3 linked regions of the Mytilus edulis genome follow. The protein of the gene in region 1 interacts with the protein of each later gene in a pairwise test. Links are inferred from orthologs where the notes say so. Each region holds a gene or a part of one and is shown on either strand. Other genes may lie near its edges. The genes, in order: peroxisomal targeting signal 1 receptor-like; acyl-coenzyme A thioesterase 8-like; delta(3,5)-Delta(2,4)-dienoyl-CoA isomerase, mitochondrial-like.

Region 1 (8,972 bases):
AGGGGAGGAAAACGTGACAAATTGTACAAGATAAACATTCAAATTTCAATTTGGAACCTCATTTCTTATTCGAAGAAAGCATATATATATAGAATGGAATAAATGTATGAAGTATGATTACTTATTTTTAATTCATCTAAGATGTCTTAACACAATCTATGGTAATAAGATATATATCTAAATCTCAAAAACGTAACCAAATCAGTGTTGTCTTTTTCAATATTCATTGAAGACCTATTGGTGACCTTCTGCTGTTGTCTTTTCTACAGTCGGGTTGTTGTCTCTTTGGCACATTCCCCATTTCCATTCTCAATTTTATTCCTTATATCATGTATACAGTTTGATTTGTTGCTAAGTTGATAAAACTTTTGTTCATTTGGTCTCTTGTGGATAGTTGTCTATTACCAAATCCTCCTACATATATATTGACATTTGTTAAAAGTAAAATCACAAAGATACTGAACTTTGAGGAAAACCAATTCAGTATTAAAAGACTTTATTCTAGATAATACTACCATTTGCTGTGGGTGCTGGACTCTTCCATGACTGAAGTTTTCCTGTAAGTAAATTTTTTTTTTCTAAATATTTTACAAAGTAGAAATAACTAAAAAGCATGATAGTCTGAGATTACTCTGACCTCCAAGGGCTGTTTTGTCAGACAATTACAGCATGTACAGACAATCATGACAAAGACAGATGCAAAATGTTCATCGTTACTACATAGACCTTTTAGTATGTTCGAATTAAAGAACTTATTTAAATACATATTTAGAAACCATCACTTCAACTGTTAACTAACATTTTTTCAGTTTTAATTATTTAGTTATTTGCTATACAAGAACATTGTAATAACTTAAATAAGAAATATGTTGCAATACAATACTTTTAAGATCAGTCTTCAGCTGATATATATATATATGCAAGTACATATACCTGTCGTAATCCTCTATCCTGTGTGAAATGTGACGTCAATTTCATTAGTGAATTAGAGCCTCCACATTCCCCCTCCACCAAATTTCTCATAGCCATTTTGTAGGTTAAAAATCTGAAAAGTATTAATTAAAATTAATTTTACTAGCATAGTCGTGATATTTAAAATCAAATACACATGGCAAAAGTCTATCTAAAATTACAATAGAATATTAGAAATATCACCATGCCATCCCGTTATTGAACATGTTGAAGCCTCAATTGCTTTCAGCAGGGTTCTTCCTAAGGCGAGTCCATGAGTCCTGAACTCATCAAAATCTGTCTGGACTCACCATTTTTAAAACTGGTGAGTCCACAGAAGCATCAAGATTGAAATATTTTGTATAAACTTAACACAGTTAAACACAAATGTCATCATTTTATAGCAAAAGTTTAAAAGTGATATGAATTCAATGTCATTTCATTGCTCTGTTAGGAAATGGAGACTAAAATATTACATTGTATTGCAATAAAATATTTTCTTCTTGCTGTTGGACTCATCATGGCTAAAAATGAAGAGCCCCTGGACTCGCCTTCAAAAATCCTTAGCGAGAACCCTGAGTGCATGAGAGTCATGTCAACAAATGGGTAATTAAGTGATGTGGGTTCTAAAATACAATCTACATTAGTTTTAAGACTCTCAATAAGTATGATGAGTATGATAAGATCCTTCTGAAATTCGCTTCCCTTTCTTATCACTTCTTAGTAAATATATATAACATGTAACATAATGTCTGTTACTAATTTGATTTTTGATATTTTTTCAAACATATGTGACATGTTTTACAAACAATGTACATTTGTATGATAATCATGATGATGCATGCTAGTCATTTGTTATAATGTTTACAAGTTTTTTCAAAATATAAAGGAAAAAAAGAAAAAAATACTTTAATCATGTTAATATACATACATTTTTGTATGTAGCATAATCATCATTATACAACTTATAATAAAACAATATCATTTCATGCATTTAACTGAATGAAATAATTCACATTAATGAAATCAAGCAACGGTTAATTTTCATCCACAATATTTATTTACTTTTTTTATGTGGTGAATTAATTAATCATGTAAATTAAAATACATAAATAATGACAACTGGGGTTTCTGTCATGTGTTATTTTGAAACTTAATGAGGTGAGCGTGTAAATTAACTCTCAAGTGGGGCAAGTTAGCAGAATTTAACTGTATCCTCGATTATTGGAAGTTCGATACCCTTACTTGAAAAAAGATAGAAAAAATCAGAACCTTGGAGCACATGTTATCCACTATGAAAATGTAAGACTGATGAATGGAAATATTCTTCACTTATTTGCAAACATTCTGATAAACTTTATTGATGAAAAGTTTCAATCAGTGGCATAGAATTTAATATCTATAGGATTATAAACACATTTTTTCTATAGGTTATTGATGTGTAGGATTGCTACGGATGATATTGACAACAAAAGTAGGCGTGTTATACACCATTGCCTTAAATGATTTTTCCCAGGTTTGCTCATTATTTTTTTTTTGTTAGAGTTCAATGTTTCATCTCATTAATTTAACAAAGAAACTGACTGCACACAGATCTTAAGTAATTGTGCAAGGCCTTCAAAGATTGCTCCTTGGGGCTTGTATAAATAAGCAGTGTTTGAGGATAACAGACAAATGGGATTTTCATTGTCCATGAAATTACACTTAAATGATAAGTAAAGACATCTGCAAAGGGCAGATAATTTAAAATTCTATTAGAGCAAAGAAATCATAAGAATTCAATAAAAGAAGATAGGATGACTTTTTTACATCTACAAGTAAAAAAAACTAAATGTCTAAGGGACAAAACTCAGGCAATATCTTTTTTTACCAAAATAAGTAAAAAAAAATTCACTTGTATAAGTATCCAGCAAATTTACCTATATAAGAATATTAATATTACTTCTTCAAGTAATTAAAAATAACTTGTACAAGTAATACCCCTGACTGTCCTAGTCCAAATAATCATGAAGTCTTGAAAGGCTATTATATTTTTTTTCTGTGACGCATCGTCGATGTAAGGTGTCAAAGAAAAAAAATATAATAGCCTTTCAAGACGTCATAATTATTTGGACTAATAATCCCCAAGCTGTCATGATCAGAGTTAGCTGCGGAAACCGTAGCTCTTAGGTCCTTATGTTATTTTTTGACTATTTGCGGACCGTCCGCAAATAGTCAAAAAATAACATAAGGACCTAAGAGCTACAGTTCCGCAGCTAGATCAGAGTCAATGGTAGATTGGTAGTCCAAATAATTATGACATCTTGGAAGGCTATTTTAAATGTTTGCTTTGATGCCTTCCTTTGACAAAAAAAAATATAATAGACTTTCAAGATGTCATAATTATTTGGACTAAGTCAATGCTAGCTATATGCACTATCCATGTATCATGAAAATTATCTACAAGTCGTGAACAGGTGAAGAGGAGGACTTGCATAAATTTCATAAATGAAGTTACCACAACCATAGAAAAAGAAGGATTCAATACAGAAAGTACATTTATATTCGCTGAACAGCAATATATATTTACATATGGTTTCCTTCACGTTCTTAGAGTTAACTATGATTTTGAGAAACACAGGTCAGTCCATCGTCCCACATAAGCCGAACAACATCGTTCATTGAAAACAGGACGCTTTCCGGTAAGTGCGAGAAATAGGTCTAATGATACTAATTTTCAACCTGGTTACTTTCTTTACTAAATATATTCACTGAATTGGATTAAAAATTAAGAAAATTGATGCAAATTAAAGAGTTCGGTATACAATTGACCATTATAACCAACACGATCATACAAACATTCACTTGATACAGATTGTCGCGTAGGAAAATTTAACGAACTACTTCTAAATTGTTGACATTGGAGAATCGTGAAATAGAACCAGACTAGTTTTGATAAAACACAATTATAAATCAATATGCCATCAAAAGCAGAGGACATAATGAAAGGATTCAAACTGTATCCTTAATCAAGATAACTGTACATATATTCACATCAATTATGTTTACAAATTTCCAAATCTATCATCGGCGTCTAGAGACATCCTGATTTGTGACATTTACATTAAATTATGTGACATGCAAATTTAAATTCCTTTGCTCGACCTTTTCTACATGTATATATCTACAGCTTTACTTTATGACATCATGTCATCCCTTTGTTCTCCAGATTCTGTTGTCACAGTCAGACACAGTTTATATGTGTTAAAACTTGGGACACTGTTGAAGACCGTGTAAATTATAATATTATACACTCTATTACTATTTAGAAATAGGTGCTGCTTGACTTGAGCATCTGTGTCTCTTGGACTATTGGCTTCATACAATAATCTTGCCCAACTGTAAGGTCTCTGCCCCGAGTCCTGAATCTTTCAAGGCTCAGCTCCGTCAGTAATTAAATTGACATGTTTTTATTTGCACTTGTATATAAAATTCACCTAGTTTTTGTTTTTGTTAAATTAAAATTTTTTCATACATGCGCGCACTCCATAAATGTGGCAGAATAGTCAACCAGTTGACGGTGGCCGCTTACTGGAAGAAGAAGAAGAAGATCACATTTTGGGAATGGTCAACCTTTGTGTAGTATTGAATGTTTAGTAAGAAGTGTCATTTAACATCTTCAAAATGCATTGCCCCACACCTAACCGCCCCACTTTTTCACCAACTCGACCGACTTTTTAAAAAGTTGTCCCAAACTGGTTTACCAACTGGACCCACTTTTAAAAAAATAGCCCCACTTACAGTCAGAGCTCTGACATAAACAAGTCAGAATAAAATGACTTCTTCAAGTCAGAAAATGTTTTGACATTCTGACCTGTACGGGTCAATTTTTGTTTTGCGTAGTTTTCCATCGAGTCCGTCAAACCAGAAGATATTTTGAATTTGCCGCCGATCTAAGACACATACGATCACGTGGTTTTTTGCGAGAGATCACGTGTTTGAGAGTTGTTGTTTTGGGAGTTTCTCGAACGAGAAGTTATTGAAAATATAGTGATTATTTACGTTTTTTTATTGAAAATCTAGGTCAATGTGGTCATTTTCAGAAGGTAATACATATTACCTCCGTATTTTCATGGCCATTTTAATATTTTTTGCGTGTGAAGAAGGTCTTTGCAAGTGATTTTGTTGCTGTTTCATGAAGGCGCGTGACCTGTAAATACGGACGCGTAGCCTTTGAGATGACCTGGTGTCTGACAATTCTGACTTGTTCAGGTCAGAAAATGTTGTTATGATAATGAACTGTTATTTTCGGGAGACAACTCGTGTTGTCTTAAACAGTATTAACATTAATAACCAGTCAGTGCAATTTTAAAAGTAAAATTATTGCTTCGAGCTGAACATCATCACGTGATTTTTCTATTTTTAAACTCAATCATGAATTGACTTTTTAACCTTTCCGAGTTTGCGGCTTATAAATATATTTGTTTTTTCGTTTCTCCCAATGAGAAAAACGATCTTTTGAATATTGATATTAATGAAAATGAAATGAAATCGGAATAATTTTAATAAAGGAAAAGGGAAGGGAGGGTTTAACTAAAAGAACCGAAATATTTTTTTATTTTTATTTTAAAAATGATTTTAACTTGAGAACATTATAAAGAGATTCACAAAACGGGTTTTTCAATTATGAACATGGAATATGATCTTAAAAACAAATCAAATGAAATGTAGGGTAAGGCTCCAGTGATCACCCTACCCCTGTCATTTGACAATGTTGAACAGTCGAGATCCCTGCCCCCTTAACTCAATTTTTTCTCTCTGTAAAGTATAATGAAATATACCAAGCTAGTCTCTATGGGTCGCCCCACCCCTTGTCATTTGAGAATGATCTTATATCTTGAAAATTGTCGAGATCCCCACCTGTAAACAGCCATATATATTCCTTTTTATAATGTCAAATTGATTTGAATGAAATATACCGGGCTAGTCTCTGGGTTTACCCCCTCCCCTGCCATTTGCGAATGTTCTTATATTTTGTAAACGGTCGAGATCCCCACCCCTAAACTATATATATTCTTGTATGGGAAAATAAAACAAACCCAATGTAATATAGGGGAAGTCCCTTGGGGGGGGGGGGGTTGCCCCTACAGTGTGAAAACATGTAAATGGTCAAGATCCCCACCCCTGAACCATATATATTAGTGTAAGGGACAACAAGACAAATCAAATGAAATAAAGATAAAGTCCCTTGGGGTCACCCCACCCCCTCATGTTTGAAAACATGTAAACGGTTGAGATCCCCACCCCTTAAGCCTATATATTATTATATGGGACAATACAACAAATCAAATGAAATAAAGGGAAAGTCCATGGGGGTCATCCCCATCCCCCTTTTTGAAATGGTCTGGATCACCACCCCTAAACCATATAATATTCCTGTTCGTCATTTCAAGAAGATTTGAATGACATACATGTACAGGGTCAATCCCTAATTATATGGCATATATGTTTTCCTATGAAGTTACACATCTATAATTCTTACCCCAGATGCTTAGCCACATAAAGCATTAACCTTTTATTTGAAATATAGATAGTCTTTGTTTCTACAGAAGTGAGAAGAACATTGGAAGTCAGTATGTTCTGACTTATAAAAGTCTGAATGTTCTGACTTATGAAAGTCAGAATGTTCTGACTTATGAAAGTCTGAATGTTCTGACTTATGAAAGTCTGAATGTTCTGACTTTAATTTAATAAGGCCAGAAAGACTCAGAATAATCTGAAGATAATGACTTGTTTTTAATGTTTAGAGTATTTAAGAATATGAATGCTCTTGTCATGCTAGTACCATAAGAAACCCTGACAAGATTTTGTTCCCAAAAAAATATATATTAAGAATAACAAGTGTACAATTGAACATAAATTACAAAGTTATAAATGTTGCTAAAAATTCTATTTAAAAAACACCCAATAGATAGTTGTAGTGAAAATATTATGTATTTATATGTACCACTTCTTGAAGGACAACAAAGTCACCAAACTTAGTCTGATTTTCATAGTATTTTCTCCTCAACATTTTTTTAACAGAACATGATTTGACCTGTTTAAGTCAGTTTACAGAAAAAGAATCCGATCAAACTAGGTTTCTTCATCTTAGCCCCCCCCCCCTTTTTTTTCTCGTTATCTGAATCTGCTATTGTTGGGATAATTAATTTTTTTTAAGAAACAATTCAGTCAAATGGTTTTTAGAATAATGATTTTTTACAACCAAAAGTTCTATATGTTAACTTTACAGAAAAAAAAGTCATGAAAATACAGAAATAAAATAAATTTTTAAGATATAAATTTGATGAAATTTGTTAAAAAAAATACATTTGAATATAAAATATACCAAATACATTTTTTTTTATAGTCCTCAATATTGTGACTTGAGGGGACCATATTTCATCAGTCTTTTATCTGGTTTGTCATACATTTTAAAATCAATATGAAAATCCTAGACTTAAAAGTCGACATAAGTTTAGTTTTGACTGACTCTCTGAAGTCAGAACATGATTTGACCTGTTTAAGAAGTCAGTTTACAGAGAAAATTAAATCCAATCAAAACTAGGTCTTCTTCTTCTAAGCCCCCCCCCCCCCTTTTTCCCTTTTATCTGAATCTGCTACTGTTGAGTTAATTAATTGATAAGTTTATTAGAAACAATTCAGTCAAATGGTATGAAATAATATATTTTACAACCAAAAGTTCCATGTGTTAACTTAACAGAAAAGAAAGGTCATGAAAATACAGAAATATAATAAAATTTAAAGATGATTTGATGAAATTTGTAAACAAAATATATTTGAATATAAAATATTAGTTCTCATTATTGTGACTTTATTATTGGGTGTCTTTTATCTGATTTTCCCATACGTTCTTAAATGCATATATTTATGACAATGCCGGACTTAACAGTTGTAATAATAAGTTAAAGTGAAGTTTTTGACTGACTCTTTGAAGTCAGAACATAATTTGACCAGTTTAAAACAAAATACATTTAAATATTGAATAATCAATATGCAAAATAAACTTTTTTATAGTCCTCATTAATTATTGCGCTGTATGGGGACCTTATTTCCACTGTCTTTTATTTGGCTTTTCCGTACATTTTTAAATCAATACGAAGAAACTAGACTTAAAAGTTGACATAAGTTTAGATGGGACTGACTTTTTGAAGTCAGAACACTATTTGACCTGTTAAAGTCAGTTGACAGGAAAAAATGTCCAATCAAAGTTAGGTTTTCTTCCTCTAATCCCCCTCCCCACTAAATATCAATCTGCTACTGTTGAGTTAATTAATTACTGATTTTTTTTTAGAAACAATTCAGTCAAATGGTTATTAAAATATAATTTTTTTTTGCAACCACAATTAAGTTCCATGTGTTAACTTAACAGAAAAGAAAAGTCATGAAAATACAGAAATAATACAATATTTTTTTTTTTTTTTTAGATAATTTGATGAAAATCTTTAAAAAACAAAATGCATTTGAATATTGAATATATCAAATAAAAATGTTCCATACATTTTAAATCAATATGAAAATCCTGGACTTAAAAGTTGAAATAAGTTTAGTTTTGACAGACTCTTTGAAGTCAGAACATGATTTGACCTGTTAAAGTCAGTTTACAGAAAAAAAAATCCAATCAAACTATGTTTCTTCATCTTAGCCCCCCCCCCCCTTTTCCCTTATTTGAATCTGCTACTGTTGAGTTAAAAAAAATTAAGAAACAATTCAGTCAAATGGTTTTTAGAATAATGTTTTTTACAACCAAAAGTTCTATTTGTTAACTTAACAGAAAAATAGTCATGAAAATACGGAAGTAGAATAAATTTTTAAGATATTAATTTGATGAAATTTGTTAACAAAATACATTTGAATATAAAATATACCAAATACATTTTTGTATAGTCCTCATTATTGTGACTTAAGGGGACCTTATTTCATCAGTCTTTTATCTGGTTTCCCATACATTTTAAAATCAATATGAAAATCCTAGACTTAAA
Region 2 (8,228 bases), on another chromosome or scaffold:
AAATATTGGAATTTCTTTTGTCTGAGAACTAAACTTACCTCCTCTTAAAAAATAACAATGTAAGCTGTGAATATGCTGTTCTTCTTTGACAGTACGACAGGCTGCTATCAGTGCCTGACCAATTACCTGTCCTCCATAAACAAATCTTCCAGCAAGGGGGCGCCAAAGATTCACTGGTGAAGCCCTGATAATGATAATAAATTAGTCTTATGACTATAAGGGTAAAAAAACGAACATGGATTCATAATTAATCATGGGGTTTATAACATTTATAACTCAATTGTGAATTTCATTGGTAAAAGTCATCCATGAAACTTAAGCATGTTAAGTATACAAAAACTGGAAAATAAATCGCAGGAAGTATAAATAAATGACATACATTTGACATATAGATAATTATTGCAAAATAGAAAAAGAGAAGGTGCTCAAGTCTAATATTGGCCTCAATTTTTTTAATTTTCAAATTATTTAAAATGTACAATTATTTTTTAGAAATAACTTTTGATTAGTATCGACACTGGTATTGTTTGATTATTGACCTTCTTAATTCTATCATAAAAGGGTGAATTTTCTTTCGGTTTCATTCACAGGATATCCCACTGCCTATTTGTGATTACAATAAAACTTCAACTGAATTATTTCCCTTGTGGGCTTGTAAAATTAGTAAATTGTTTTAAATTAATGATTAAATAATTGTTTTTTTTATAAAATGTCAAAATGTAAAGCAAATTTATTTTACTATAATTCATTGATTATGTTGACAGATTTTGTTAAATTTGCAACTTATTGTTTAGTAATTTTATTATAATATAAGATATTGTTTCTACTCTGGGAACAGTATATCTAACAGGAAATGAATCTGATACGCTTTTCAGTATAAAATTGAAAAATCTCGGACTCCCAAGACTTCCTGAGATTTATGGATTTTGGTAGGGTTTGACTGAAAAACTATTGGAACTGCTCAATAAATAAACCACATATCTCTATAGTCGTAAAAATACAAGTTTTATCATTAAGAAGATATATTTTGTCATATAAAATTACTAAAATAAGTATGATTTATTTGATGTGAAGTGTTTTATAATAGTTTGGGAATTTGTAAATCATCACGGCAATGGCCGCCATTTTTTTATTACCTTGTTTGCATTCTGCACAGTTCTGTGATGAACTGCTTGCGATATTAACAAATTTGAAGTGACAGAATACAAGTTTAAATTACGCTAGCATCACTATAAAACTAGTTTGAATGACATTTTATTGATATTATCAGAAATTTTTAGGATAATAGTGAGTATGTTTTAAAAACTTGTCTGTTTCCGTATTGTATCTTTATTTACAATGGCACGACAATAAAATCGACTACAATCAGGTAGTGTCAAGTTCCGTTAATATATATGTTCCTGTTCTACTCAACTATTGTTCATTTAGTTTGAGATGGAAACTGTACTTTTTGGACCCCACTTAAAAAAAAATGTTGTGTTTTTTTTTCTTTCTATATTTACATTTTCTACAATGGTCCAAAAAAGGGGGATCATACATTGTAGAAAATTGTAAATATTTTTAGTGGGGTCCAAAAAAGGGGGATCCATGACCTAAATACCTGTGATTGAAGTCCGAGATTACTCTGAAGTCCAACGGCAGTTTTGCCAGACAAGCTTGGGGCCCCAGCTTGTCTGACAAAACAGCCGTTGGACGTCAGAGTTATCTCGGACTACTCATGCTACCAGGGATGGGGTAATCGTAATCTGTAATCGTAATCGATTGTAATTGATTACATTTTTTCAAGTAATCGACAGTAATCTGTAATTGAAGACATTTTCGATTACATGTAATCGTAATTTAATCGATTACAGCAAAAATTTGGATGTAATCATCGATTACTTTCCGATTACATTTCGATTACTTTTATTTAAATAAGAAAATAGATTTGAAAAAATAAAATAGATCTTAAATAAGAAATGTGTCTGTCTTTCGTTAAGTTCTGTACTACATTTTTTAAAAGTAGTAAGCTTATTTGTATTAAATTTCCTGAAAACATCATTTTCAATCAGAGTTGAAATTAAAGCTTAGAATACATAAACAGTTGATTTCTTAAATGTTATGATATATATACATGTATATAAATTAAATTAAAAATGAACACAAAATCCTTTTAACAATGAACCAATGGCAATGCATAGCAATTCTTTTTAGAAATAGATACATGTATCCCTTTGACACTATAAATATATTTTGTATATAATTTGATTGGAGAAGTTAACAACATTCTTGCCTTTACTAATGAGATGATCAAAGTCTTCTAATCAATAACAAACATACTTTGTTTTTATTTCAATTATCTTATGTCTAATAAAGAAGGAAATTTACAATATTTAGCCCCAGGTTATAAATTATACTCCAGTGGCAGTTAAATAATCTGTAATTAGGGTGGTTATCCAAACAAAAGTTTTAAAACATGCATGTCATTATAAAAATAAATTTTGATCTTAAAAATTAGCTGAACTAATTAATTATTCTACTTTTTTTTTATATTTCCTTAAACATTGTAATTAACTATGCTAAAATATTTTTTTTTAAAGAGTAAAAACAAAAAAGATAACGTGTCAGTAAGAAAACTAATTTTTTGAAAAACAATTAGTTATGAATAAGTGATTATTGCAATGCGATGACATCTTTCATATATGTTGAAAGTCAAAATTACGAGATTTTTTAAATATTTCTAATTTTCATCAAGAGATTTGATCTAAAAAGCAGCTATTAACTTATAATTTAGAAACAATGCTATAAATGATGCATTAGGTAAAGATCTTAATTTCCACTATATATACAAATGTTGAGCAATATAATTGTGTTTTACTCCTGTTATTTTTTGTTGAAATGTTGAAGTATGTAATTGACAGTAATCGAAAAGTAATGTAATTACTTTTGATAAAGTAATCGATTACATACTAAAATTTGAGTAATCGATTATTAATCGATTGCACAAAAATCCTTCATGTTATCGATTATTTTTAATCGATTACATTTGTCAGTAATCGTGCCCATCCCTGCATGCTACTGTGATTGCAACTTTACTTTTGAGAAATTTCATAACTCAATGCTTTTACAAATATATATAGAGAATTTTCTAGCGTAAAACATTTTTTAAAAGAAAATTTCTGCAACCTGGGACACATACAGATACATATAAAACATCTATATATTCCGATTTGAATACTAAAAAGGGGGACCTGTGTCACTCTTGTTGTTGCATGATTTCATGTTTAAAATAATATGTCTCTTGATCTTGATCTTTAAACAAAAATGATATATAAACAACATTAAGAAACTATTTTCTACCTGAAGATATTAGTGTCAATATCTTCCAACGTCAAATACGATCTTACGAGTTCATTTTCTAGATCGTCAGTTCCAGTTGCTGCCATTGCCATTTTCTATGGGAGGTAACTCTAATAATATTTGGCGCGAAATATAAAAGTGCAGTCATATAATATTACTGTTATACTGAATGTGAATTTGCATTGCTGTGCGGCTAGTCTCGATGTTTAACTTTTGTACATCCACCATTCATGGCCCTGTAATAAAAGTGAGGCAAGTGTTCCTGAGACAATATACCTAAAGTTAATAAATGAAACCCAATTTCAAACATTTCAAGTATATTTAAATAATATTTATAATACTTTTATTATTAAGAGATTTGGGAAGTGGTTCCTGAATAAATGTTTTTAAAATATGAATTTTATGAAGAATCTGATGCCATCTCATACTTTCGAATACAAATACAAATACAAATATTTTTATTGGCACAAACACAATTACAATAATTGGCAATGGCCCATACAACTGGTATACAAATAGTAATAATGCATAGAATAGCAATAGGCATATTTAGAACAATATCATCGAACGATATCAATATCATCAACAGTAAATGATTAAAAAAAAAAATATATATCAATTACATAGTTGGTCAAACATATTAAGTATTGAAAATAATGACTATATTAATATGTAATATTATGAACAATGATTATTAGCAATTTTATAGAGTTTGTTCTGCTTTACGCAGGTTCAAACTGTCTGAGATGAAAGAGGAAGTTAGTTTTAGGATTGTGTATGAATTATTATTTAATAAAAAGATTATATTATTTTCATGTTTTTGAAATTTTGTAGGATCAACGATTGTATTTGAAACTTTATGGTAAAATATGTCCCTCTTAGTTGAGTATTTTTCACAATGTAAAAGAAAATGTTTTTCATTTTCAATTTGACCAGAATTACATACAGAGCAGTATCTCTCATTTCTGGGAATATTTAGATGTCTCCCTCTTTCAATCATCAGTGTATGAGCGCTTATACGGATCTTACATATTGCAGCTCTGTCACTTCTGTTTTTTAATATATCAACATAGGGTGGTCTTCTGCCCATTATGTAGACACTTTTGAAAAAGTCTAACTTTTTGGATTCAAATATATTTGCATTTTGAACTTGCAAACATTGGTCATTAATTCTTTGTTTAATAGAATTTAAATTACCTTTAACATAATTAAAGTTATTGATGATATAAGACATTCCAAGTTCATTCAAAAGACTCTTGACCTTTATGAACCAAGGGTTTGAATCTACAGATTTAGTGAATATATCATATGCCAAAGAATTTTCCGAAGAAACTATATGGTTCAGGTAGTTGAATATTGAATATAATATTTTATTTTTCAAGGGAATTCTATTAAGTTCAGCTCGACATCCATCATTAGATGCCTTACAGTGAACCCCTAATATGTCTTTGATAAATTTAACATGAAGTTTTTCAAATGGATCAGAGTCTTTAAAATGTGAATCCACCCCCCAAATTTCACTACAATATGTAAGAATGGGAGTAACTAAACAATCAAACAATTTTTCAAGAAGTCTACATGGGTTGTTGAGACCTATAGTTTTCTTTATTTTATAGTATGCCTTCCTGGCTTTTTCCATTAGAGTATTCACAGCAAGGCAAAAATTGCCATTATACTTTAAAACAATACCCAAGTAACAATAATTTGTTACTGTTTCAAGATATGCATTATCATAAGTAAAATGGTTTAACAATGTCTTGCCATTAGAATTAAATATCATAATTTTTGATTTATCAGTATTAACTTGTAGTTTCCATGTTGAACAATATTCATGTAAAATATCAAGAGATTTTTGTAGACCCTCTTTGCTTTCAGATAGTAAAACAATATCATCTGCATATAAAAGAATGTTCAAAGAGGTATCCCCAATAGCAACTGGATCCGTATGTTTGTCATCAAGATTACCTACTAGATCATTTATAAAATAGTTAAAAAGAAGTGGACTCAATACGTCACCTTGTTTAACACCCCTTTCTGATAGGAATGGAGGACTCAACCCATTAGAGAATTTTATTCTACTTACTGTATCAGTATACATTGAATAAATAACATTAAACATTTTTTGGGGGATATTATGTTTTATGAGTTTAGAAAATAAACCTAGTCGCCATACAGTATCAAATGCCTTTTTTAAGTCTATGAAGGCAGCAAAAACTTTTTTCTTTTTTTGTCTATATTGATCAGTTATGGTCTTAAGAGTGAATATGTGGTCAGCTGTACGACTTTTCTCTTTAAAACCTATTTGATTTTTACTTATTAAATTTTTGATATCCATAAATTTTACTAAACGTTTATATAAAACTTTATTAAAAAGTTTACCTAGGTTGGAACTAATAGATATACCTCTATAGTTCCCTGGATCAAATTTGTCCCCTTTCTTATGCAAGAGAACAAGTAAGCTCTCATTCCATATTCTCGGAAATTGACCAGATTCGAATATGCTATTAAAGAGTTTATGAAGTGGTTTTATTAAGATGGGGATTGCATTTTTCAACATTTCATTTGAAATCATGTCGGCTGATGTGCTTTTGCCATTTTTAATTAAACGAATAGCTGTTACTATCTCTTCAATTGTTATCTCTGAACTCAAGTGAGTTAAGTCATCTGTAACATGTGATAAATTAAACTTTTCTTTTAGAGAGTCAAAATCTTTAATAATTTTAGAGTGAAAACTATTGTGATTTATGTCACAGTTATTCAATTTTTTATAAAACTGGATGAAATCTTCTTGTGGTAAAGATTCATTTTCTTTGTTATTACTTTTTTGTCTACTTAATTTATTCAAGATGTTCCAAAACATCTTTGGGTCTTTCTCACATGTATAAAGTTCTGAAAATATATCTTTTTTGTATTTATTTTCTTCATATTTACATAGACGTCTAAGTCTAGATCTGAAAGAATAAAATTTATGTCTGTATTCAGAATTATAGGGATGTTTATTAACTAACTTTGCATAATTTTTTACTGTAACGGCAAGTTCACGGCAAGATTCAGAGTACCAAGGTCGTCTTTTTGACCTATTTTGATTTTTATTTCTGACTGGGACTTTCTTTACTAGTTTAGCAGACTTCAAAGCATTTTCATATAGTATATTATTAAATGAAATTACTGCTGATTCAGAGTCTTTAAAAGTTGATTTCAAAAACTGTTCAAATTTGTTTTTACTCTCTATACTATTACTATTTAATGTGTATAGATTTATTGCTTCAGGTGTCCATATAAATTTATTTGGGATAGGATCCAACTGATATTGGGGTGTATTTTGAGGCATAATAAAACCTATTAATAAAGAACAACTTATTATACAATGATTTGACAAAGAAGTAAAGTCATGTACTTCAAAATAACCAACTATATGTAATAATTCTTTAGACACAAGCATATAATCTACAACACTACATCCATTGTATGTAATACAAGTGTGTTTACCATGTAAATCACCTATGGTTCTACCATTTAGTATTCTAAGACTTGATTCCTTACATAAATTCAGTAGATACTTTCCACTATTGTTGACAAGTTTGGTGTCAAGGTTATTCCTTGGTATATTTTGATCAGAAATATATTGTAAATCATCTTGATTTGAAGTACAAGAATTATCAAAGGCAATAAAATCTGGTTTTGTATTAGCAAGGATTTGTATAGTAAGATCTTACTATACAAATCCTTGGTATTAGTATAGGCATTGAAATCGCCTTGGACTATAATGTGCCCTAAATTAGAGTATTTAACAACATCAGCTAGTAGCTTGTCATAAATGGGTTCTAACCCGGTAGTGTTCGTGCTAGAACTTTCTGGTGACATATATACTTTATCATTTATAAAATGGTTAAAAAGACCTGCCGAGTTATTTATTTTCAACACCACAGAATACATTGTACAGTTATAAGTAAGGTTATCTGTTTTCAAATTACCACAGTTTAACATTGTCATAAATTAATAGTTATCAAAGGTACCAGCCGAGGCTTATAATTTAATACGCCAGACGCTCATTTTGTCTACATATAAGACTCACCAGACTGAGTCACTGAGATAACAAAAAGTTAGAAAGCCTAACAAGTACAAAGTTAAAGGGCATTGAGGACCCAAAATACCAATAGGTTGTGACGAATACGTATACGGTTAATTAAGGGAAAGTATAACTGGGATACGAAAATTCTAAGTATTTCGAATAATTCATACTTTTGCAAACAGTAAATTTATAAAAATGACCATATAATTGATATTCATGTCAACACCGAAGTGCTGACTTCTGGTCTGATGATACCCTCGGGGACGAAATGTTCACCACAGTGACATCGACCCAATGGTGTAAATAGTTATCAAAGGTACCATGCTTATAATTTAATTCGCCAGACGCGCGTTTCATCTACATAAGACTCATCGGTGACGCTCAGATAAAAAAAAGTTAGAAAGCCAAACAAGTACAAAGTTGAAAAGCTTTGAGGACCCAAAATACCAATAAAAAAAACCTCGGCCAAATACGTCTAAGGGAATCTATGACTGTGATAACACAATCCTTAGTTTTTCGAATAATTCATACTTTTACAAACAGTACATTTTAGGCCGTGTGGTGACCTATAGTTGTTAATTTTTGTGTCATTTTGGTGTCTTGTCTCCTGTGGATAGTTGTCTTATTGGCAATCATACCACATCTCGCTTTCATATATAACTGATATTCATGTCATCACCGAAGTGCTGACTGCATAAAGTGGAAGGTTTGGAATGCCATTAAACCAGGTTCACCCACAATTTTTTTTCTTAAAATGACCTGTACAGATTCAGGAATATGGCAATTGTTATCATATAGTTCGTTTCTAGGTGTATTG
Region 3 (8,765 bases), on another chromosome or scaffold:
GATGCATTTCTATCAAGAGAATCTGTCAAAACAAAATTCAAAACGTGTGTACTACATACTGGTATATGTTAGATCCATGTGCACATATTAAATGAAATGTCAAACTTAAAATGCAAGCAATTAATTATTCAAAATACCAATTGATTATGTTTATCATGTATTCTGGAAATCACAACTTTTGAAGTGGCTAGTGCCATTTGATTCTAGTCTATATGCAATTTACATTAAGTACAAATTTATATTTTTATAGTATACACTTTGTCTTTTAAATTGTATCAATTAACATTTGTAACTGTGTTCAGGATAAAGTTTATTTAAATAGCTTTCGGGTCAATCCGGCCCCACGTAGATCCAGCCCATATGTAAAGTCAATTGGGCCCCCCCCAAAAAAATATTTATAAGGATTAGAAATAAAAATAAAGATATATATTAATTGTAATTGATAAATGTTTATGATTTTTGTCGAGCCTGCAACTTTTGTTGCAGAAAGCTCGACATAGGGATAGTGATCCGGCGGCGGCGGCGGCGTTAGCTCACTTCTTAAAAGCTTTATATTTTAGAAGTTGGAAGACCTGGATGCTTCATACTTTGTATATAGATGCTTCATGTTACGAAGTTTCCGTCAGTCACATGTCCAATGTCCTTGACCTCATTTTCATGGTTCAGTGACCACTTGAAAAAAAAGTTCAAATTTTTTGTAATGTTGAATTCTCTCTTATTATAAGTAATAGGATAACTATATTTGATGTGTGCGTACCTTGCAAGGTCCTCATGCCCGTCAGACAGTTTTCACTTGACCTCGACCTCATTTCATGGATCAGTGAACAAGGTTAAGTTTTGGTGGTCAAGTCCATATCTCAGATACTATAAGCAATAGGGCTAGTATATTCGGTGTATGGAAGGACTGTAAGGTGTACATGTCCAACTGGCAGGTGTCATCTGACCTTGACCTCATTTTCATGGTTCAGTGGTTATAGTTAAATTTTTGTGTTTTGGTCTGTTTTTCTCATACCATATGCAATAGGTCTACTATATTTGTTGTATGGAATGATTGTTAAGTGTACATGTCTAGCGGGCAGATGTCATGTGACCTTGACCTCATTTTCATGGTTCAGTGGTCAAAGTTAAGTTTTTGAGTTTTGGTCTTTTTATCTAATGCTATATGCCATAGGTCAACTATATTTGGTGTATGGAAATATTTTATGATCTTTATGTCAGTCAAGCAGGTTTTATTTAACCGTGACCTCATTTTCACGGTTCATTGCACAGTGTAAAGTTTTTGTGTTTTGGTCTATTTTTTTAAACTATAAGTAATGTGTCAACTATATATGTTGTATAGAAGCATTGTTAGCTGTACCTGTCTGCCTGGCATGGTTCATCTGACCTGGACCTCTTTTTCAAGGTTCATTGGTCTTTGTTTAGTTATCTTGGTTAATGTAAAGTTTATGTGACAGTTGTAATAAAGCTTAGATTTATACTTAAGACTATCAACATAATATCAATGATTAGTATAGAAGGCGAGACATTTCAGCGTGTGCACTCTTGTTATTATAATATAAAAGGTGTACAAGATTTTTTTCAAGATTATTGGGTATAATTATATTAAAACGTATATATAAAAAAGAATTCAGACATCAACATTAATCAGCAATAATTAGCAATTTCTTTCAATTGACTGTGATCCTAACAAGTCTTTCGTCTTGAGTAATAACAAATAGTTACATACACAATGGTACAAGCGGATCCCCAAGCTGATACATACAAACTTAAAAAATATATTGGCTATATGATGTTACAAAAAAAAAGTGTTATAGACATGATAGAAGCCTCTGATGTTACCCGAAATAAAAATACAATTAATTATTATTATATACACCAAACAAAAGATTGAATTATAAAGACCTTGTTGATTACGTAACTTTAATTAATCAGGATTTGATTGAACTAAGTGATTACAAGTGGCATTACCATAGTTCACAATCACCAGACAATTGTTGAATAAACAAACCAATTATAGACTAATGATTTCGTTTATATATACTGTTCAAATTTGTCACAAGTTCCCCCATAAAGTGAATATAGTTTATTCATATTTTATTATGGGGCCGGATCAGAGTGGGCCGGATCGACTTTGGGCCAGATTGACTTGGGGCCGGATCGGTTTGGGACCGGAACGACCCAATACCTTTAAATATTGTCATTTTCTGGTATGTTGATGGAGTTATAAACACTAGTAAAAGTAGAGCTTTCTCTGATCTGGGGTTCAAAACTTACAATAACATATAAGTTTATTAGTGTCAACTTTAAACATGTTAAACATACCAGTTTGATACATGAACCTTCCATTTTTTTTTTAAATCTCTCTAATGATCGATTGTTTTGGAGATCTATGAATTTCTGTTCCTTGAAAAAAAAATGTTTTGAAAGACACTAATTCTTCTCTGTGTAATTTGATTTATTGGATATTTGGTACTAATATTATAAAAGGAAATATTAATATTTTGAAAGTTAAGTCCAAGTCAAAAAATAACTAAGAGCTACAATTCTGCAGCTACTTGGGATGGAGCATCTCAAAGAGTTACATTTACCAAACTTTGTTTATTTTTAACCAAAGGAAAAGTGACCCGGATTCTTTTTACACCTTCTGCAGGAATGACAAAAAAAGGCCAATCAAAATCCAAAAAGATTTCATCTTTCTGAAAGTTGAAACACTTAAGTACATTTTGTAAATGCATTTCATTTGTATCTAGTGAACATGGTGAATGCTAGTTCAAATAATTATGACGTCTTGAAAGTCTATTACTTTTTTTTCTTTGACACCTTACATCGACAGGAAGGTGTCAAAGCAAAAATTTGCCTTTCAAGACGTCATAATTATTTTGACTAGGTGAATGCCTGCAGGCCTTAAAACTTTTCAAACGGCACAGGTTAGTCTGTACTCATAGTATTTATTGAGTTGTAAATATAGCCATTTTGTGTCCATTTGTTATAAAGAACCTTAAACAGAAAAATGATCACTGAACTTCTGAAGTCAAGATAATTTTGCAGAAGTTGCCAGAACCTGTAAATATCTTTTGCCCATGATTTACATTGTTAAAGTCTAATCTTTTTCTCCCTACTTTATCCGAATGTATTTTTCTACGTACAATTCAGTATTTTTCTCGTTATATTCCTTATTCCATGCATTTAGATAAAAGGGGTAAAGTCCAAGTTTGCTGTCAGTTTCTTTTGCAGTTGAATCTGTTCCTGTAATAATTTCCTAAACCAAATTCGTTATGAATGAATACGGTAAACCAGTCAAAATATAAACTTCTCTTCATACTCGTACGTGAACCGTAAAATTTCCGGATTTTATTCTACAACGTTATGGTCAATATTTTATGCTTATTAAAGTATCTGTCTATCTATTAAAATTTTCATGATAAGAATTTTTTTTATTTAATGAAAATTGACAAAAGAGGCCAATAGAGAAAGTCAAAATAGCTAAAAACAGATAAAAATCACCAATCAGGGGAAATAACTCATAAAAAATTCAGCAATTTGAGTTATTTGTAGGTATAATTGTGCTTTATAATCTTTACATTTTATCACTATCTATTATTGTTTTTTCTTGATAAAAAACTAAATAAATTAGGGAGCTACCATTTTATTTTTATGGGGGTAGGGGCTAAGATGAAAAATGTTGTCCTGCCTTTTTATTTTTCACTTTTTTCAGTCCTGTCTTTTTATTTTTCACCTGTCCTATTTTATTAATTCATTCTGATTTTTTTTCTTCAAAAATTCAATGACGTTGAAAAAGAGTTTATTACAGCTTTTTTCATAATGCTAGCAAACCAAAGGTTTGGTAAACTTACTTGCTTTGTTTGTATAAATATTTGCTCAAGCATTGCAATTAAGTTTGACATCTGCAAACAATATAAGTAGTGGAGCTAAACCTGTGGATAGGTAAATTTGATTATTTGATAATGTCCAATCAAATTTAAATATAATGTTAACAAATTTAAAGCTGCCTTTTTATGTTGTTTTAAGATGTCAATCTTAATTACATTGCTAAATAAGCAAACATTGATACAAACATGGCAAGCAAGACAAACAGACCTTTTTTCGCTAGCATTAAGAAAAGAGCTGTAATTATGCATACATGTTGACTTACTTGCTGATCATATTTGCATTATATACCCGTATGTATTTAAAAAGAACACTACTATATCATAATTAGTTTTTTAGTGGCGATCCTGAAATTTTCATATGGGGGGTCCCACTGACTGCCGTAGAGGGGTGCCACCTCAAGTGGTGACTCGGTGATTCCTCATATAATCAACAATTTACTCGACATTGACTTGATAAGATTGAAAGAATGATTGCTTCACAGTCTATTTTGTTAGAACTATAAAAGGAAGTGATGAACTTTGGAAGATTTAAATATCAAGTCCGTACTATAGGGTTTTGATCACATTTTATGCAATATTTACAAAAAAACAAAGTATACATGCAATGCAAAAAAACACACAAAAAGCAAAGGAACAATTTTTGTGTTGTAAATGTCTTGACTATGTATGAAATGTTTGCCAATGGACGTTAAGCAAACATCAATCAAACAATATTTTCAAGTAAAAGGAGCCAAATTTTTTTATGGATAAAATCCCAGGATAACATTTCATAATAGATACTCTAAGGAACATTCAGGTTAATTTTGGTAACACCATGCTCAGTAGATTCAGATGGAGAAGATTTTTTAAAAGTTTACGATGATAGGACAATGAATGAGAGCAAGTGATGGCAAAAGCTCACATAGTCTTTAGTTCAAAATTTGGTAAAAATAAGCATTATCACCATTGTGAAATGCCTTGGAGGTCTTGTGGTAGTTTGTATGCCATTAAATGCAGGAGTTCCTAAACTTGATATCTGGCTGAATCAAAGCAAGAACCTTAGATTGATATTTTTCCTTTCCTTCTTAGATTGTATTATGCATTAGTAACGGTAAAGACTGGTCAGCTAAGAATCAAAATAATCTGTCCAGGTAGGACAACCTTTCTATCTGTGGACTGTTACTTATGACGCTGCTGTTCAAATTTTTCTCAGTATGTTGATCTATTATATTATTTTCATATCATATCAACATTATATTGAACAAAGTTGCAAGATTGCTCTCTTGAAATCAATCATTCATCCATACCTGCCCAGTATCACACACGTTAATTTATGTCTGTCAACTAACAGTTTGTATAAAGAGACCTACAAAATATACTATCATCTTTGCTAGTCTGCTCTTAAATATTATTCTAAACATTTCTTATTTTTAAAATTCGCTATCTTTATAGCTTCTTAAAAAGTCTTTGCCTCATGTATACTAATTCCATTTATTTTCACCTGTGTTGCCCAAGATGGAAGCAGATCTCCATCCATCTGTCCATCTGGAAGACATTAGGTAAGAAATGGATGTCAAAATTTTCTTGGCTTCTTTGAAAGGGAATAATTTGATATATGGTCTGTAGCTTGATAATGAAGAGTTGTAGATAGTAAGCAATTTTGACATCTCGCATGCAGCCAATTAGAATTGATAGTTTTACAAGGCAAATTCTCATCCAAGTTTTCTTGCCTTTAATGAAAGGAAATGATCAGTTATGCTTAAATATACATGCAACCTCAATCAGCTACATTCAGAGATGCAGGTCCAGACCTAACATTGGTATGTAAATCTCCCATTAAAAAAAACAACATTTAAAGCATTTAAGAACTTATTTATTAATATAAAACATAACTCATTGAATAAACATCTGATTATGTAACACCAAAGATGAATGAAACTATGAAAAATGTAAATAAACAATAAAGTAGTATCATTGTTGGTATCCATTTTTTTTCTATTTGTGTGATTCAGTAATAAAGCCCAGAAAATTAACACATGATTACAATTTTTCCCTGATCTTGACTGTATCATTTTTGTATATAGAACCACTTACTCTTGACGCAATAAACCAATGATACTATTGAAACTATCAAAAATGTTTGACATAAAATTAAACTATTTTCAAAGTATGGTATGTTTTCATTTTTAATACATGATTTTAATTAACCAAACAATTAATATCTTTGCTACAATAATATCATGCCATTGTTTTTTGTCACTGTAATTGTGTATTATAAATCTAAATAAAACAAAATTCATACAAAAAATACAGAAAACAAAATTACAAAACATTCATGTGTGTAAATAAGTTCTTGCACTAACATACCAACAATATTGTACACCAACAGTTACAAAAAGCCACACATATTTTGCCAGTCAAACATATTTCCAGTTCAATAAAATCTAAAATATTTCTGTTTGTGTATTTAATTTTTGGGTATTTTGGTCCCTTTGAAAGGCATTCTTATGTTATTCTAGAAAAGCACTTTGGGTGCATAATAAGTATAAAGTGCTGCTTCCATTTTTTTTAAAGTCCTTTTTGAAAAAAAATCACAAAACAACACAGTGGGCCAATCTAATCTAATAAGTAAAATGGTCCATTTAAAGAGTGCTCTTCTCAAAAAGCCCAACTTAAAAAAAAAGTCATACTTTTGAAGGTTTTAATTTAAAAAATATTTATCTTTCAATATTTTTTTAGATTGTCGAGCCATTTCTTTTACATACATTGTACAATGAAGTGAAGATTTGATACTGGTACTGTCTCATTTTTTACCCCTCCCTCAATTATCTGATCTTTTTTTCCCTGCTGTTTTAGACTTCATATTTTCTTTGATTTATTATTTAACTTTAAAGTGCCATCATATTGCAATGTCTGTATTATATACCACACAGAAGTTACAAATTTGAGAAAATATGTCGCTGCGAAATCCACTTAGAGTGCTAAATGAGAAAAAAAATATCTGCAAACATAAGTAGGTATACAGTATACTTACTGCATATTCCATCCCTATTCAATCTTTTAATTGTTAACTATATTTAGGGATATACATATACATGTATATATACCAGTTCTAAGCTATAAAAATCTGTTAATGAAACTGGAACATTATCGGCTCGGATATTAACATAATTATAATAACTGACAACTAATCACAACAATTACTGTTAATTCAGAACTTAATGTGAGCAATTTTTATTTTGAATTTAAACCTTTAATAAAATTGTGACCATATACATTTTACAGTTCTTTGTTAGTTTTATTAATTTTTTTTGTTTTTGTTACTTTATTTACTCATCCTGTTGCATTTTACATTATTATAAAAATATCACAATAGTTTTTGAATTAACAGGAGCAAAAATTATGAGGTAGTAAGCAAACATATGTAATTTCTATTTCTCAATCTTAAATAACAAAAAAGAGCATACTTGGTGTCAAATATTGATACCCATACCAAACTGATATCACAAAAGAAAGTGTTACCTCGAATCCTAGAAAAATGTTAAAACCAGTATACATAGTATACTTAATAAACATTTTAAAACATATTGAAACAATTATAGAACAGAGCACTAAATAGATCATTCATAACCGAATTTACTTCAACAGACTCATGCATGACTTATGGAGGTCAACTTAGGGGAGACATAACTCTTAAAATCAGTTGTTTGTGTTAGTCATTTTCACACTTATATATATATGTTCTAAGCTTCTTTATGATCAGATTATTTCAGTTCTGTTTCAAGTGATAATAAATTATATTCCAATAATGAATCAGACTTTTTCAAACACATTTCTGATTTAAAGAGTTATCTCCCCATTAATTGTAGTGTAGTTTAAGGACAAGAAAATGTTAACAGTCATTCCGATTTCTAAACATTGAGTTGCTATCAACAAAGGAACCATCCAATTATTATCACTGTATGTGTCCATATAAAATGAATATATTACAAAACTTTTTCAATTTTTTATGAGATGTTACACCATAGGCGTATACTTGACAAATTTTGTTTGACGTCTTTTTTGTTAATTTGGAAGTCTTCCTTTGAAAACAAGTATAATGGAAAAGGGTTTAATCCTGTTATAGAAAACAGTATTTCTTCTCTTATCAGCTGATAATATATAAAAGCAAAATTGATTCATGAACCATAACCAAGCTGCCATGTGAATCTGATACAAAATATGTTGTTACATCCATCCAACCAATTAATACATTGTAAAAACAAAATGTGATCAACAAAGCATATTCACTTCTATAAACACAGTTATACATGCATCACATATCCACAAAACAAACATATAAAAAGCATGCAGAACTTTATGACTAGATTGTCAGAATGGGTCTTTTCGGCGGGGATCATGGGATTGGCAAGGGAGATAATCTACTACTGTGAAACCTGGCTAAACTAAAACCTGCGTATACTTTAAATTTGGGTAACCAGAACGCTTGGATCAGGACATTCAGCAAATTGTTTGAGCAATGTGTTGAACCAAACACCTGTTTAATACAAGCAAAATTATATCTATCAAAGAGGTGTTCAGTTTGGACAGTTTTAGCTTCATAAATACTAAAAAAAACAATTGTTTCAAAAGCCTTACTGTGAGATACTATATACAAACTTATTGGCACACATTTTGTTTGAATCAATGTTTACCTAACTTAACAAAAGAGGGTTAACAACAAATACTAGTTCAGGAAAAATATGCATTTACATATGTTATAACTAGTCCATAAATTTAAGTGCAAACAGCTATCAAAATGCCAATAACTTTAAAAAGTTCACAATTGTGGACAATAATAACTTAATTCTGATTGCGCATACAAATATAAGCATTCAATGTAAAAGTTCAAGCAAA

Evidence for each region.
Region 2: the proteins of peroxisomal targeting signal 1 receptor-like (region 1) and acyl-coenzyme A thioesterase 8-like interact in binary tests that used the Homo sapiens proteins (3 or more experiments, as listed by UniProt). The link is inferred for Mytilus edulis from reciprocal best matches to the Homo sapiens genes PEX5 and ACOT8.
Region 3: the proteins of peroxisomal targeting signal 1 receptor-like (region 1) and delta(3,5)-Delta(2,4)-dienoyl-CoA isomerase, mitochondrial-like interact in a two-hybrid assay, tested with the Homo sapiens proteins (2 studies listed by BioGRID and IntAct, with this or other methods). The link is inferred for Mytilus edulis from reciprocal best matches to the Homo sapiens genes PEX5 and ECH1.

Annotation. Positions count from the first base shown.
Region 1 is NC_092356.1:54,303,902-54,312,873, reverse strand, and holds the start of peroxisomal targeting signal 1 receptor-like, read right to left. Parts: upstream 3,661-8,972; 5' UTR 3,521-3,660; intron 1,046-3,520; 5' UTR 1,030-1,045; coding exon 934-1,029; intron 558-933; coding exon 516-557; intron 1-515. Other genes in the region: retinal rod rhodopsin-sensitive cGMP 3',5'-cyclic phosphodiesterase subunit delta-like, read left to right, coding at 3,909-3,949.
Region 2 is NC_092348.1:72,302,033-72,310,260, forward strand, and holds the start of acyl-coenzyme A thioesterase 8-like, read right to left. Parts: upstream 3,463-8,228; 5' UTR 3,432-3,462; coding exon 3,340-3,431; intron 185-3,339; coding exon 39-184; intron 1-38. UniProt on the Homo sapiens protein: Catalyzes the hydrolysis of acyl-CoAs into free fatty acids and coenzyme A (CoASH), regulating their respective intracellular levels. Displays no strong substrate specificity with respect to the carboxylic acid moiety of Acyl-CoAs.
Region 3 is NC_092346.1:50,874,805-50,883,569, reverse strand, and holds the start of delta(3,5)-Delta(2,4)-dienoyl-CoA isomerase, mitochondrial-like, read right to left. Parts: upstream 3,300-8,765; 5' UTR 3,187-3,299; coding exon 3,147-3,186; intron 23-3,146; coding exon 1-22. UniProt on the Homo sapiens protein: Isomerization of 3-trans,5-cis-dienoyl-CoA to 2-trans,4-trans-dienoyl-CoA.